Nothobranchius furzeri: one gene and its partners. The protein of the gene in region 1 interacts with the protein of each later gene in a biochemical or structural test. Links are inferred from orthologs where the notes say so. Each region holds a gene or a part of one and is shown in the gene's direction. Other genes may lie near its edges.

What was found. The genes of interacting proteins can lie anywhere in the genome.
Region 2: the proteins of chek1 (region 1) and mcm2 form a complex in vitro, tested with the Homo sapiens proteins (2 studies listed by BioGRID, with this or other methods). The link is inferred for Nothobranchius furzeri from reciprocal best matches to the Homo sapiens genes CHEK1 and MCM2.
Region 3: of the proteins of chek1 (region 1) and atr, one has a biochemical effect on the other in vitro, tested with the Homo sapiens proteins (7 studies listed by BioGRID, with this or other methods). The link is inferred for Nothobranchius furzeri from reciprocal best matches to the Homo sapiens genes CHEK1 and ATR.

What each region holds. Positions count from the first base shown.
Region 1 is NC_091750.1:44,931,971-44,936,151, reverse strand, and holds the start of chek1 (serine/threonine-protein kinase Chk1), read left to right. Parts: upstream 1-1,371; 5' UTR 1,372-1,468; coding exon 1,469-1,525; intron 1,526-1,687; exon of another isoform or gene 1,688-1,691; coding exon of another isoform or gene 1,692-1,712; coding exon 1,713-1,756; intron 1,757-2,414; coding exon 2,415-2,529; intron 2,530-3,251; coding exon 3,252-3,360; intron 3,361-3,491; coding exon 3,492-3,556; intron 3,557-3,625; coding exon 3,626-3,695; intron 3,696-3,776; coding exon 3,777-3,965; intron 3,966-4,181. UniProt on the Homo sapiens protein: Serine/threonine-protein kinase which is required for checkpoint-mediated cell cycle arrest and activation of DNA repair in response to the presence of DNA damage or unreplicated DNA.
Region 2 is NC_091743.1:72,011,673-72,015,837, forward strand, and holds the start of mcm2 (DNA replication licensing factor MCM2), read left to right. Parts: upstream 1-1,358; 5' UTR 1,359-1,454; coding exon 1,455-1,460; intron 1,461-2,651; coding exon 2,652-2,851; intron 2,852-2,922; coding exon 2,923-3,095; intron 3,096-3,188; coding exon 3,189-3,319; intron 3,320-3,385; coding exon 3,386-3,524; intron 3,525-3,607; coding exon 3,608-3,705; intron 3,706-3,780; coding exon 3,781-3,902; intron 3,903-3,990; coding exon 3,991-4,165. UniProt on the Homo sapiens protein: Acts as a component of the MCM2-7 complex (MCM complex) which is the replicative helicase essential for 'once per cell cycle' DNA replication initiation and elongation in eukaryotic cells.
Region 3 is NC_091758.1:22,151,827-22,155,970, forward strand, and holds the start of atr (serine/threonine-protein kinase ATR), read left to right. Parts: upstream 1-1,337; 5' UTR 1,338-1,489; coding exon 1,490-1,542; intron 1,543-1,656; coding exon 1,657-1,748; intron 1,749-2,897; coding exon 2,898-3,050; intron 3,051-3,144; coding exon 3,145-4,055; intron 4,056-4,140; coding exon 4,141-4,144. UniProt on the Homo sapiens protein: Serine/threonine protein kinase which activates checkpoint signaling upon genotoxic stresses such as ionizing radiation (IR), ultraviolet light (UV), or DNA replication stalling, thereby acting as a DNA damage sensor.

The sequences.
Region 1 (4,181 bases):
AAGGGATAAACCATCAACCCTGCTCAATAGTCAACTTCCCTCGCGGGGTCACCCGTAAAGACAGTGGAAGGGTTATATCACCATTTATAATCATTTCTCCTGCGTCATCCTAGTATTAGAAATATAGTAATAAATAGATTTTTATAAACTACATTTTTGCCTCTGTGTCAAATTATTATAAGGTTTTGGTTCCCTGGCATATCCAAAGTACCTAGTTTCATCATCAATCAAATATTAAAGGTTCAATAACATTGCTAATCCATATTTTTATTGAATACTTTTATATTTAGTTGAAATTTTATTAAAAGTAACCACTTCATAACATTCCACCTCTCAATGTCACTAACACACCCTCAAACACTTGAGCTTTGTTGACATGTTGAGTTATTTATTGATGAAACACTAGAAAGAACCAAACTGGAATCTCGATTGTTTTTCTTCTCATTCTACATGAGCTAAGCAGGTAATTACGTAAATTTTCTTCTTGATCACCTGGAAGATTAATCTCATATGTATAATAAGAGGTTAGTCACTGAAAGAAAAAGTATATCCTTTACTGATATTGTCTCAGTTTGGTGCTTGGATGTTTTCAACCGCGCATCATATCATCTTTGTGTCTCTTGTGGCTGATCTACATTTAACACAGATGTATGATGTTGAGGTTTCCAACTCTGAGATGCTTTCTCTCACTCTCTCTACTGGACACGCCTGGTAACAGCTCATCCGTCTGATACATATTTTACACACTTAGATTTTTAGATAATAGCTGTCAAAAACAACACATTTCATTTCATGGACTGAACACATTTTTGAGCCCTTTTCCCAAAAAAATTATCCACTCACAAAGGATCGGTCTAGATCTCTATTCCTCCAGGATTTAGCAAAGAATTTTTCTGTTCAGTTTCTCAAACAGAAGGTTGGAAAATCACACTCCATCCATTTACTGTCAGTGTTTGGTTTTAGGAATTATGTTCCTAAAACAAGCTGTTTCAAAAAGTCCCTGTTTGTGATGTCACAAACAATAAATAAACAAATGGTGCAAAGTTGCGCCATATCACACTTTTGAAATTCATACGACAATTCATGGACAATGTGCACAACAGAATGGGTATTATAGCGGCATATTTTATTCTACATGGCAGATAAAAACGTCCTACAATGCAAGTGTGGTCTGTAAAATGTATATCTGCATGTCCTGTGCTGAGTATGCTTTGACCTACAGTCCTTTGTGTGCAGGCAGCAGCGGCTTTCATTCATTAATCTTTGAACAGCTCAGGGAGAACCAGGTGGATGATTGGGTGCTGTGTACTATTTCACCAGAGGGGGGCGGAAGTGTGCGCTTGCTGTAGGTTTCCTGCAAAAGCGTAGAAGAAAAAGAGGAAATGACGCAATGTCTCCGGTAAAACAACAAGGCGCCAAATTTGTGCCCCTTTATCACAGATGCACATCCATGGCGGAGTTAGAATAAATGTGTTTTGTGACTCGTCACATGTGGGAAACGCAGCTCAGGGAAAAGGCGGTGGAGGTAAGACAGTCACATGAATCATCGCTGAACAGATATGGAGGCATCGTGACATTAGCGCTGCTTCACATCCTGCAAACGTTAAAGTTTGGCGCTGTTTGTCTTTAATGATGAGTTTTTTTTATACACGTTACATACGTGTTGTGTGTTTTGTGTTTACTGAAGCATCATGGCGGTGCCTTTTGTCCAGGACTGGGACCTCGTTCAGACTCTGGGAGAAGGAGCATATGGAGAGTAAGAACATCATATATATAGTTCAGTAGCTGCTGGGCTAAATGCTGCACCAAACCTTAATGCAGGTTAAAGTCGAGCTGCGTTTTTCTTTACTCAAGCTACTTTTGTTTAATAATTAAGTTCTGGTTAAATGCACGTTGTAATTCACACCATCCAATCCAATTTTATTTATAAAGCGCATTCACAAGGCATTACAACCAAACAAGGCGCTGTACACTAAAAATGTTGGTTAATTAAACAGGCGTTATATAAACATGTCGAACACAGATAAAAGATAAAAAGGAAATACAACAAAATTCCCAAAAATAACAGCTAAAAATCATTAAGACACAGGGTGAAGTAAAAATAGGAAAAAAAAAAAACATCACCTTTATCAGATGTGCACCGGTTGTGATTTTGTAGGCCGATATCTGCGGCATTTACTGATCTTAAAGAAAAGGGCTGATGGTGAGTTCATGGACCAGTCATTTCTATTGCGTTCACTCATCCGAAAAGTAGAGTTTTGGGTTGGTCAATCACCAGTTTAGCTAATCAGGCTGACATTTGTCCGGTTCCGGTGCGTTTCTAGTTTTTGTTTTACTCCAAAAGTCTGTTCTATTTTCTTTCTTATAGAAATTCTGATTTATTTCTCTTTTTGTTCTGAACCATGCTCTTTCAGAGTGAGGCTGCTGGTGAACAGACACACTGAAGAGGCAGTGGCAGTGAAAGTCGTCGATACCTCTCAGTCTAAAGAGTGTGCAGACAACGTGAAAAAGGAGGTCTGCGTCCATAAGGTACCTGTCTTACTGAGCTGCAGAAAACACATTTACCTTCTTCTGAGGATTTTTAAGTCAAACACTTCTGTTCTGATTTTAGAAATAAACAAAGTGTGCTGGTTCAACGTTTGAAATCAGTGATAGGGCCGCACAATATATCGTAAATATATCGTTATCGCGATATCAGCATGTGCAATATGCATATCGCAAAGAACAGATAAATATTGCAATGAATGGTCAGCTCAAATGTTTCGTCTTCATCTTCCTCCGCTTATTCGGGTCCGGGTCAAATGTTTGCTACACATAATGCGTTCTGTCAATCAAACGGAAGTGTGATGTTTTTTTAACAAATAAAACAGCTTTTCACCCATTTGGCCAATTGGATGGGTTCTCATAGGTTAGATGCCCGCCCCCGAGGCGGACGGCACTTAATTTTGATGGTTAGCAAACACCTTAAGTTAGCTTTTTTCTGCTCTTTTTGCTGATTCTGCTTTTCCCGGGTTCCACTGATTGTCTTTTCTTCACATCTTTTGCTTTTGTCATTTTGAAGAAATTTTTTGTCATTTTTAAAATTTATTTATATATATATTTTTTTTTATTATTTTAGTTCCTGAGTTAAGTTATTATTTATTGCAAGTAATATCATCATCGCAATATTAATCACTATCGGACATTGCATGTTTTCCTAATATCGTGCAGCCCTAATCAGTGATTAAAAATACAACCTTGTTCTTTGTCAGATGCTCAACCATCCCAACATTGTGAAGTTTTTTGGGCATCGGAAAGAAGGAGCGACTGTTTATCTGTTTCTGGAGTACTGCACCGGAGGAGAGCTGTTTGACCGGATCGGTAAAACACTGCGGGCTCTCTGATAAAACTGTATTTTTGCAGCAGACTGTTGGTGTCTGTGAAGTGCAGATCAGTTTATTATCTTAACTAGTTCCTGCCTAACTCGAGTTCTTGTCTTTCTGGTGTTTTAGAGCCTGATGTGGGAATGCCAGAGAGGGATGCTCACAGGTTTTTCCAGCAGCTAATGTCAGCTGTGGTGGGTGAATGTTTGTGTTGTTTGCCTGATTCGGGCTCTTTTTTTATTCTTTTATTTGCTTCTTCTCAGGAGTACCTCCACAGCCTTGGCATCACCCACAGAGACATAAAGCCCGAAAACATTTTGCTGGATGACAAAGGTGGGCAAATAGAGTGCCACAGTTTTTTTTTAATGATTTCTCATAACCATGCATCATTTTTTTTTATCTTCTAACCTTTAGACAACTTAAAGCTGACTGATTTTGGCCTAGCCACCATGTTTCGGTTCAAAGGACGTGAGCGCCAGCTGAACCGACTCTGTGGGACTCTTCCCTACGTTGCTCCAGAACTTCTCAGCCAATCAGAGTATAGTGCTCAGCCTGCAGACATCTGGGCTTGTGGCATCGTCCTGACGGCCATGCTAGCTGGAGGTGAGATCCCACACGGTCCAGGCACCCGCTGTCTTTCAGGGGGTTTTAGTGTAACAGACTAATCATCCCGATCAATGCTCTATACTTTCATAATTTGAATTAATAACTTAAAGGCGACATATTATGCAAAATCGAACTTTTGTGCTACCATGTGGGTCTCGACTGGCTCTGTAAACTCTCCAAACATGGAAAAAAAATCCATCCATCTGTTTTCTG
Region 2 (4,165 bases), on another chromosome or scaffold:
GCAGGTCTGTGTCATCCTGATAGCCCATTATGTCGCTCATCTCAGCTCCTCTCCAGCAGCGAGACGGGTGTTGCCGTAAACTATCGTGTAAACGCGCACTTCAATTGTAGGTGCGGCTCACTTGACCGCAGTCTGATTTTGCCCCAACATGCAGCAGAGTGGAACAGAATCAGAGTTTCTCCCTGCTTTATTGATGACTGCTTTTTTTTTTACACAAACATTAATGGTGCAGCGTTGAGGTCCTGCAACAGCTGATGCTCTGTTCTCGAATTGTTGACCTGGTTTTGCTCAGCTGCAAGACTGAGTGGAGCTTGTTTTCAACAAAGACTCAAGTATTTCTGCTCACATCATCCCAGCCAATCAGAGCCTACCTGCAAAGCTTCTCAGCCAATAGGAGGCTCAGAAATCCATCCTCCTCCTCCTGTCCTGCAGCATTTCAGTGACTCATAAGAAACATCTCAGGACTTCGCCCAAATCACAGAATAGTCCTGGTTGTGGTTCTACAACAGATTCAGTGAGATCCTTTCAAAGAGCCAAATATCACAGAACTCAACTAACAGTTTCAACTCATTAATTATATTAGTCATGGCTCTAAAAAGGTCCTCGTCTTTGTATGACCTGCATGCCAAGTGAATCAAATGAAACAATAACCAATGGATGGTTTTGTATTATTATGAATAACACTAATAGTGTTATTTCTCTTGTGATGAACGTAGTGATATTAATTCATAAGTTTAGCCGTGGTCTTATTATTATTATTATTATTATTATTATTATTAAACATGCTATCTATCTATCTATCTATCTATCTATCTATCTATCTATCTATCTATCTATCTATCTATCTATCTATCTATCTATCTATCTATCTATCTATCATCTATCTATCTATCTATCTATCTATCTATCTATCATCTATCTATCTATCTATCTATCTATCTATCTATCTATCTATCTATCTATCTATCTATCTATCTATCTATCTATCTATCTATCTATCTATCTATCTATCTATCATCTGTCTGTCTGTCTGTCTGTCTATCTGTCTGTCTGTCTGTCTGAACTAAGCAGTTATTTGTAAAATAATCCACCCAATTTCCGAAACTCTTGAAGAAATTGAACGCATACTATCTACGTCACGAACACCACACAAGGAGGGTTTGTTTGTTTATCTCTGCGGCTCAGGCCGCTGAAGGGTGGTATCTACCGAGACCATCCGAGACACCGCAGATTCAGCTGCTAGTCAGCGACAAAACCGAACAAATCGTAAAGGAAGACCCGCCCCTTGAAATCTGGTCAGCCAATGAGAAAGACCAGCATCGGCATTCTCTTTGAATATTCATATTCATTCGCGGGCTTTGAGCTCCACGTGGTCGATTTCGCGCGAAAAGGGACAACCGGGCAGGAAGAAGAAGCAGCGTCGTCCACTGAAGCAGCAGCAGCTCAGTTCAGCAATGGCGGTGAGTTACAGTAAAGCCGTGAAAAACAACAAAAACGGGCTTTAATTAGGTTTTATTGCTTAAACGAAAGAAGATGCCGTTTATTAACTCCAGTTTATCGCTGTAGTTTTTGCTGACTTATCTCGTTTGTGGAAACAAGCACACAAAGACTTTCACTGTTTAAGAATCCGAACTTTTCTTTTGGAAATCAGGATTAGTTTTAGATGTTTTAATGCAGAATCGTGACCGACAACGATGCTGACGAGTGTTTTATTTAGTTTTACGTTATTAGAAACAATAATTATGGTGTTTGTAACGGAGAGCTGCCATGTGGCAGCTTCAGTTTGTCTGATTTTTATGCATTCAAGTCGAGTTTTTGAGATTTAAACGTATAGAAAGTCCAGATTATCTCACGTAAATCAGCCGAAAATCTCCTTTAGTTACAACAACACAGAAGTGACTGATCGTGTCCTCATGTGGCCTTTTCTTTATTTAACAACTGTTTAATAAAGTGGTCTCCTTTAAAAATAGCTGAAGACTCACTTGTTCATGCTGGCTTTTGTATGACCTTCTTCACCACTCTCTTTATTCTGCTCTCCCCACCTATTCCACCTTCCTCAGGATCCACTGATTTCCCTCTTTCCTATTCACTCCCTCTCTTTCTTAACATTTTTTTAATCACAATTGTCTATTTATGCTCATTTTAAATATATTGTTAAACATTTTCTAAATGCTTTTTTATATTTTTACATTTTTTATCTTCAGAGGCGCTATAGAAATGATACTTTCTTCTTCTTCTTTACTCTGAGCTGTTTCTTGTCTGCTGTACGCAGATTATTCATCAGGGAAAACATTTCCCTTGTTATTTCGGATTATTTAAAATTGCACCAAGAGGTTCTTCTATACCCAGAAACCCGTTATTGTAATCTTTCAAAATAAAACAAATTAAGACAACTAACAATAACTCAAACTAAACTTAGTTTGGTTTTATACAGTAAACGTTAAAATGCTCCACTGAAAAGCTCTTGAGCTGTTTGATGTTCTGGTCATTTAGTTTTTTCTTTTTATCTAATTAAGACATGGGGGGGGGGGGGGTTAAAACAAAATTTCTGCACTTTAGTTTATTTTGTTTAACATTACGATTGCACCCTCCAATTGCCTGCAAGGGTTACCGATCAGCCCGTTTGGAGATGTAACTGTTGTTGTTGACAGGATTCCTCTGAGTCGTTCCACGTGATCACCAGCCCCAACCGACCCTCCAGGAGAGGAGACCTGACCTCCAGCCCAGGACGGGACCTGCCCCCATTTGAGGATGAGTCCGAGGGGCTGCTTGGGGACGGACCCCTGCCTGGGGGTCTGGAGGAGGAGGAGGAGGCAGACGGGGAGGATCTGATTGGAGATGGGATGGAGAGGTGAACACCAGTTTGTGAGATCAGAAGCTTGTTTGGAAGCTTCATAATGATAAGTGGATCTACTCTTCCAGAGATTACCGCCCCATTCCGGCACTGGACCAATACGAGATGGAGGGCTTGGATCTGGATGACGAGGATCTGTCGGAGCTGTCGCCGGGAGCTCGAGCCGCTGCCGAGGAGGCGATGAGGAGGAGGGACCGGGAGCAGGGCCTCAGTGGACGTCTGAGGAGAGGACTCCTTTATGGTGAGGATGGAGATGAGCGGACCCATTTCTGGAGAACGGCTTTAATCCAATTGAATGAAAACACTGAAAGTGTTGCCTTGTTGCTGTTTTCAGACAGCGAAGACGAGGACGATGAGCGTCCTGCCGCCCGGCGAAGACGTCTGGCTGAGCGCGCCGCTGAGGGCATCGCAGATGGAGATGAGGAGGAGATGATCGAGAGCATCGAGAACCTGGAAGACATGAAGGTTTGTGGAGCTCTTTCAGGCCTCTCTACCGTCACATTGGGTTTTTAATCCCCTCCCGTCCTTCAGGGACACACGGTGAGGGAGTGGGTGTCTATGGCAGCTCCGCGGCTCGAGATCTACAACCGCTTCAAGAACTTCCTTCGGACCCACGTGGACGAGAATGGCCACAACGTGTTTAAGGAGAAGATCAGCGACATGTGCAAAGGTAGCTGAGATCTCTGCTACGGAGGAACGGTGGTGGAGAGGAGTTGAAAAACCTTAATCCTGCTTTTTGTCCCGATGTCTCAGAGAATAAGGAGAGTCTGGTGGTGAACTACGAAGACCTCGCTGCCAGGGAGCACGTTCTGGCCTATTTCCTCCCAGAAGCTCCAACGGAGATGCTGAAGGTGAGTTTTTATCATCGTGGAAGTCAAAATATAATTAGGACTTTTTCTAATGAACCCAAACATTTCTCTTGTCAGATTTTTGATGAAGCAGCCAAAGAAGTAGTTCTCACCATGTATCCAAAATACGACCGCATCGCTCACGAGATCCACGTCCGGATCTGTAACCTGCCGCTGGTCGAGGAGATTCGATCGCTCAGGTAGCGCAGCTTCCAGGCTCTTAAACATCTCCGCGATGCTGTTAAAGTCCTGTGTTGTTCACAAACGTTCTTCTGCTCTGGTCCTCAGGCAGCTCCACCTGAACCAGTTGATCCGGACCAGCGGCGTGGTGAGCAGCTGTACCGGAGTCCTGCCTCAGCTCAGCATGGTTAAATACAACTGTAACAAGTGCAGCTTCGTGCTCGGACCCTTCTTCCAGTCCCAGAACCAGGAGGTGAAGCCAGGATCCTGCCCGGAGTGTCAG
Region 3 (4,144 bases), on another chromosome or scaffold:
ACCTGTCAAGTAAAGATTTTATGAGCCAAAAAAGCAAACTTTATTAAAAGGATTAGATCAAAAGTCTTGTGTCCTCAGAGGGCTCTTGGTGTCTTGTGAATAAGTTAAGGATACTGTTCAAGTTACTCATATCGAAGAAATTTATAAAGGATTGTGATTATGTTTACAAATAAGTTTATAAGTGTTTAGTAAGTTATTAAATGACCATTTACAAGGTATTAGGTACTATATATATAATTTATTACAAATAATCAATATTTAAGCATTTACAAATGCTTTAGAATTATTTATAACCCTAAAAACAACAGTTAAACTATACATTGTACATTTATCGGGTAACACTTTACAATAAGGGTCCTTTATTAACGTAATGTGCATTATTAGTATTATTAATAAGCTATTAAATAAAGCATTAACAACGGCTTCATATTAATGTTAATAAAAAGTAATGCAATACTTAGTGAGAAAATATCTGCCTCTGACACGTTTATATTGCCTAATAAAACAGAAATTAAAAAATATGTGAATTCTTTTTTTATTGCGAGATTCCGGCTGCTTTGGTGTGTTTTCTGTCTGTCAATGATTTCTTTTCAGTAAATTTCTTGTCTCAGATCATTCGTAGCTTCTGCTTATTTAGACAAACAAGCACTCAAACGTTCAAACAGGAATTTCTTTAATTAGTTTTATATATAACATCTATATATGTTTTGAGAACTGTGGTGGAAATGTTTCACCGAACTTGTGAATTACACAATAAAGAGATAGAACTTATGTGTTTTCATATTATTTATTACCAAAGGCATAAATAGTGTTTGGGTCTCGCTCTATGAAGATCACAGAATGAGCCCAGAACCAAGGATTACAGTCCAACAAGACACAGGCACATGATGACAAAAGCAAAGTACAAGAACTTTTCATAATTCTGCCCACCTCCCTATATCTTCCTCTTTTAACAGACGCAGCACAATGGCAGAATGCCTGCAACTATAAAAACAACCTTGAGTGAACCTGCACTGCAGACAATAATAAACCATGATGTCAAAACAGTGCACGGCATACATAATTTTCATCCCAGAACTTATTCCTTTCATTAATTCACTGTTTTGTTTTCAGGATATTTTTTTACTTTAAAATAAAGATTACTAAACATAAAAATTATATTTGCAGAGTTGTAATACCACCTGTTCTTTCAGAGCCTAGCTCAAATGAACCGGACATGTGAACACACGTTGGTTTATTCAATCTATCATGCTTTTTAATCTTTTTATCAGGAGAATTTCGGAAGGCTTTGAGTTTTTGTTTGGTATTTTGGGCCTTCGTGCGTGCCGTATGAAAACAAACTACGTCAGTTTGGAGCGAAACTTTTCGAAAGCGTTTGGCACGATGGGCAGCTATTTGACTTGCACTCTGGCTAAAATAACCTGTTATATCTCACTAGTAGTACCTTAAAGAAGCTTTGAACGACGACACTATAAGCAGACGAGGAAAAATGGACGGGCTTGAAATGTCTGCGATGATTCCTGCTCTTCAAGAGCTAGCTAGGTGAGTAGTGTTAGCCAAAAGCTAAGTGGCTAATCGTTTGTTTGTTACTGAGGCTTCACTTTATTTCTTTAACTATCACTCTTTTTATAAGTTACATCGTTTATCTGTTTGCAGTGCCAGCGCTGCTGAGTACGAAACAGCCGTGCAGAAACCTCGACAGATCCTCTGCCAGTTTATTGACAGGATACTGACTGACGTGGACGTCGGTAAGTCATTACTAACGGGGGACAAAAACCGAACCAACAGAGACCATTCAGCGCCAAATAAAAGCTCGTTTTCCTTTATTTTTCCTTTAGATCTTATAAGGTTATTAGTTTTAATAATAATTTTAGCACGTGCTCTTAGGTGGGGAGTGACCCTTGTACCTGAACAGGTATTAAACAATTTTTGATAAACCTAATGGAAACAAGTAAATAAAAAATGCATCGCATACATAAACCAAATGTTTTACAAACTGTTAACTTTATAGTGGTCATTTATTCATTCATTTAAAAAGCAAGTAAGAAAAGAAAGAAAAAAAGAAAATTATCTTTTACTTAGCGCCTCTCAAGATAAAAATCTTGAGGCCTTTCACAAGAACAAAAAAATTCAGAATGCCAAAAATCGTGAAAATATGGTTAAAATTAGAAGAAGAAAAAAGTTTAGAATTGTGATTAAAAGTGCAAGGAAAGGGAAAGAGAAAATGAATAGGAAAGAGGGGAATCAGTGGATAATTTGGCACCTTAGTCCATCTTAATTAAAGTTGTAATATTCTGCCTAAAACTCCGTGTTGCTTCCTCTTCAGGTAAAAACTGCACTGCATTTGAATTTACATCTGCCGTTGCTATTGGTTAAGAGGTACCCTATGACATTAGCTGGTATATTATGATATCACAACGCTGCTGTGTGTGTGTGTGTGTGTGTGTGTGTGTGTGTGTGTGTGTGTGTGTGTGTGTGTGTGTGTGTGTGTTAGAGGCTCTGCCCTTTCGGTCTGCCAGGCCTGTCCTTGTGGTGCACTTTTCAAACAGGAAATGGGAGAGGAGTTAGACTCTGGTAGGGGGTTACTTGCTCTTTAGTCAAGTACTGGTTGTAAGGGTTGAAAACCATATTTGTCTGTATATTCTGGTCATTTTTGTTTTTTACATCTTGGAACACAACCTGCAAAACTATCAGTCAAAAATCTTCAGAAGTAAAAATAAACCCACATCATGTCAGTTATGTACCTATGTTAAGAGAGTAACATCTGATTGTCATTTTGTTTTTTTAGATGTGTGTGTTTATTTTCTAAAATCCTTTTGTAATTTTTTTCTAATATCACTCAGAGATGTTTCTGATTTCCAGACTTGTTAAACACAGCCCTCTTCTCTTTTTTTAAGTTGCTTTAGGACTAAATAAAAAGTCCAGTTCAGAGCCAGCATGTGTGATGCTGCTTGACTTTGTGCAGCACATCGTCAAATCCTCGTCCCTGATGTTTGCAAATCCTGCCTGCCAACCTGCTGATTACCCAGACACCGTACAGAGCTGCACTGGTACTAAACGACACATTGTTGAAAAGTTTCACACATTATGAAGAAGCCAAAAACATAACATTGTCTTTTTCTTCATATTCTGCCTTGATTTCAGATTTCAGTAAATGGGTGATGCTGCATTTGCTTCGTGTGGCAGCAGCTCCAGGCTGTGATGTCATTCACGGGCGCGTCTCTGCCGTATTGTGCTCTTTACTACACACTCTAAGAGTCAGGATGCCGTTCATCTTCAGCTGCCTCACCGAAGAAGTCATATCATTGACCCAGGAGCTTAGCAGCATCCTGCACACTCACATAGTGACACTGGCAGGACCTGGACACAGTGTGGGTGCACACATCCAGGACAGATGGCCTGTGAAGCTTCAATGCTTCAGCATCAGTTCCATTCGTGCCTCCGTCTACCTCACCCCTACTCTCCTTCTACTCTCCTCTCCTGCTGCCTTGGAGTCGCTGACTGCTGTGACTCTCAGTATCACAAGTGACTCTCTGAGAGGAATCATTTCCTGTCGGGACCTGAGTTTGTCTTGGGACACGGCATGCTCCATCTTGGCTAACGGCAACACCAGGCTGAGGAAGGTCTCCATGGTGTTGCTGAGGAAACTGGTAGAGCTGCAGAGGTTTCCCGAGATGCAGTGTCACAAATTTTTCACGGCCTTTTTTCATTTGCTGGAAACGCACTCCGACACATCCGCAGCAAAACACTCAAACGAGAGCCAACCCTATGGAGGAGAGCTGATCAACTTAACCCGCTGTTTGTTTCAGTCGTCCCACATTTCTCCCTCTGACTTTGAGTCCATCTACCTCTCACAGATGTTTGAGTGTGTCTGTGCTCTTGGAGGGGCAGGAGTTAAACTGGGGTCAGAAGTTACTGAATCTGTTTGCCTGCTGTTCCGTTTTTTACTGTCTGTGGCTGAGATTCATGAGAGTGCTGTGCTGCTGAGGAAGCAGAGGGTCACAGATGTCTGCAGAACCTTGGCAGCCACCATTGGGACAGAAAATCAAGCAGAAGTATGAATCTGTTCATTATTGTTAAATTTTTTAAGTTTTATTTATTTATTATTCCTTCTACCACCTCACTGCTTGGGGTTTCCAGTGTG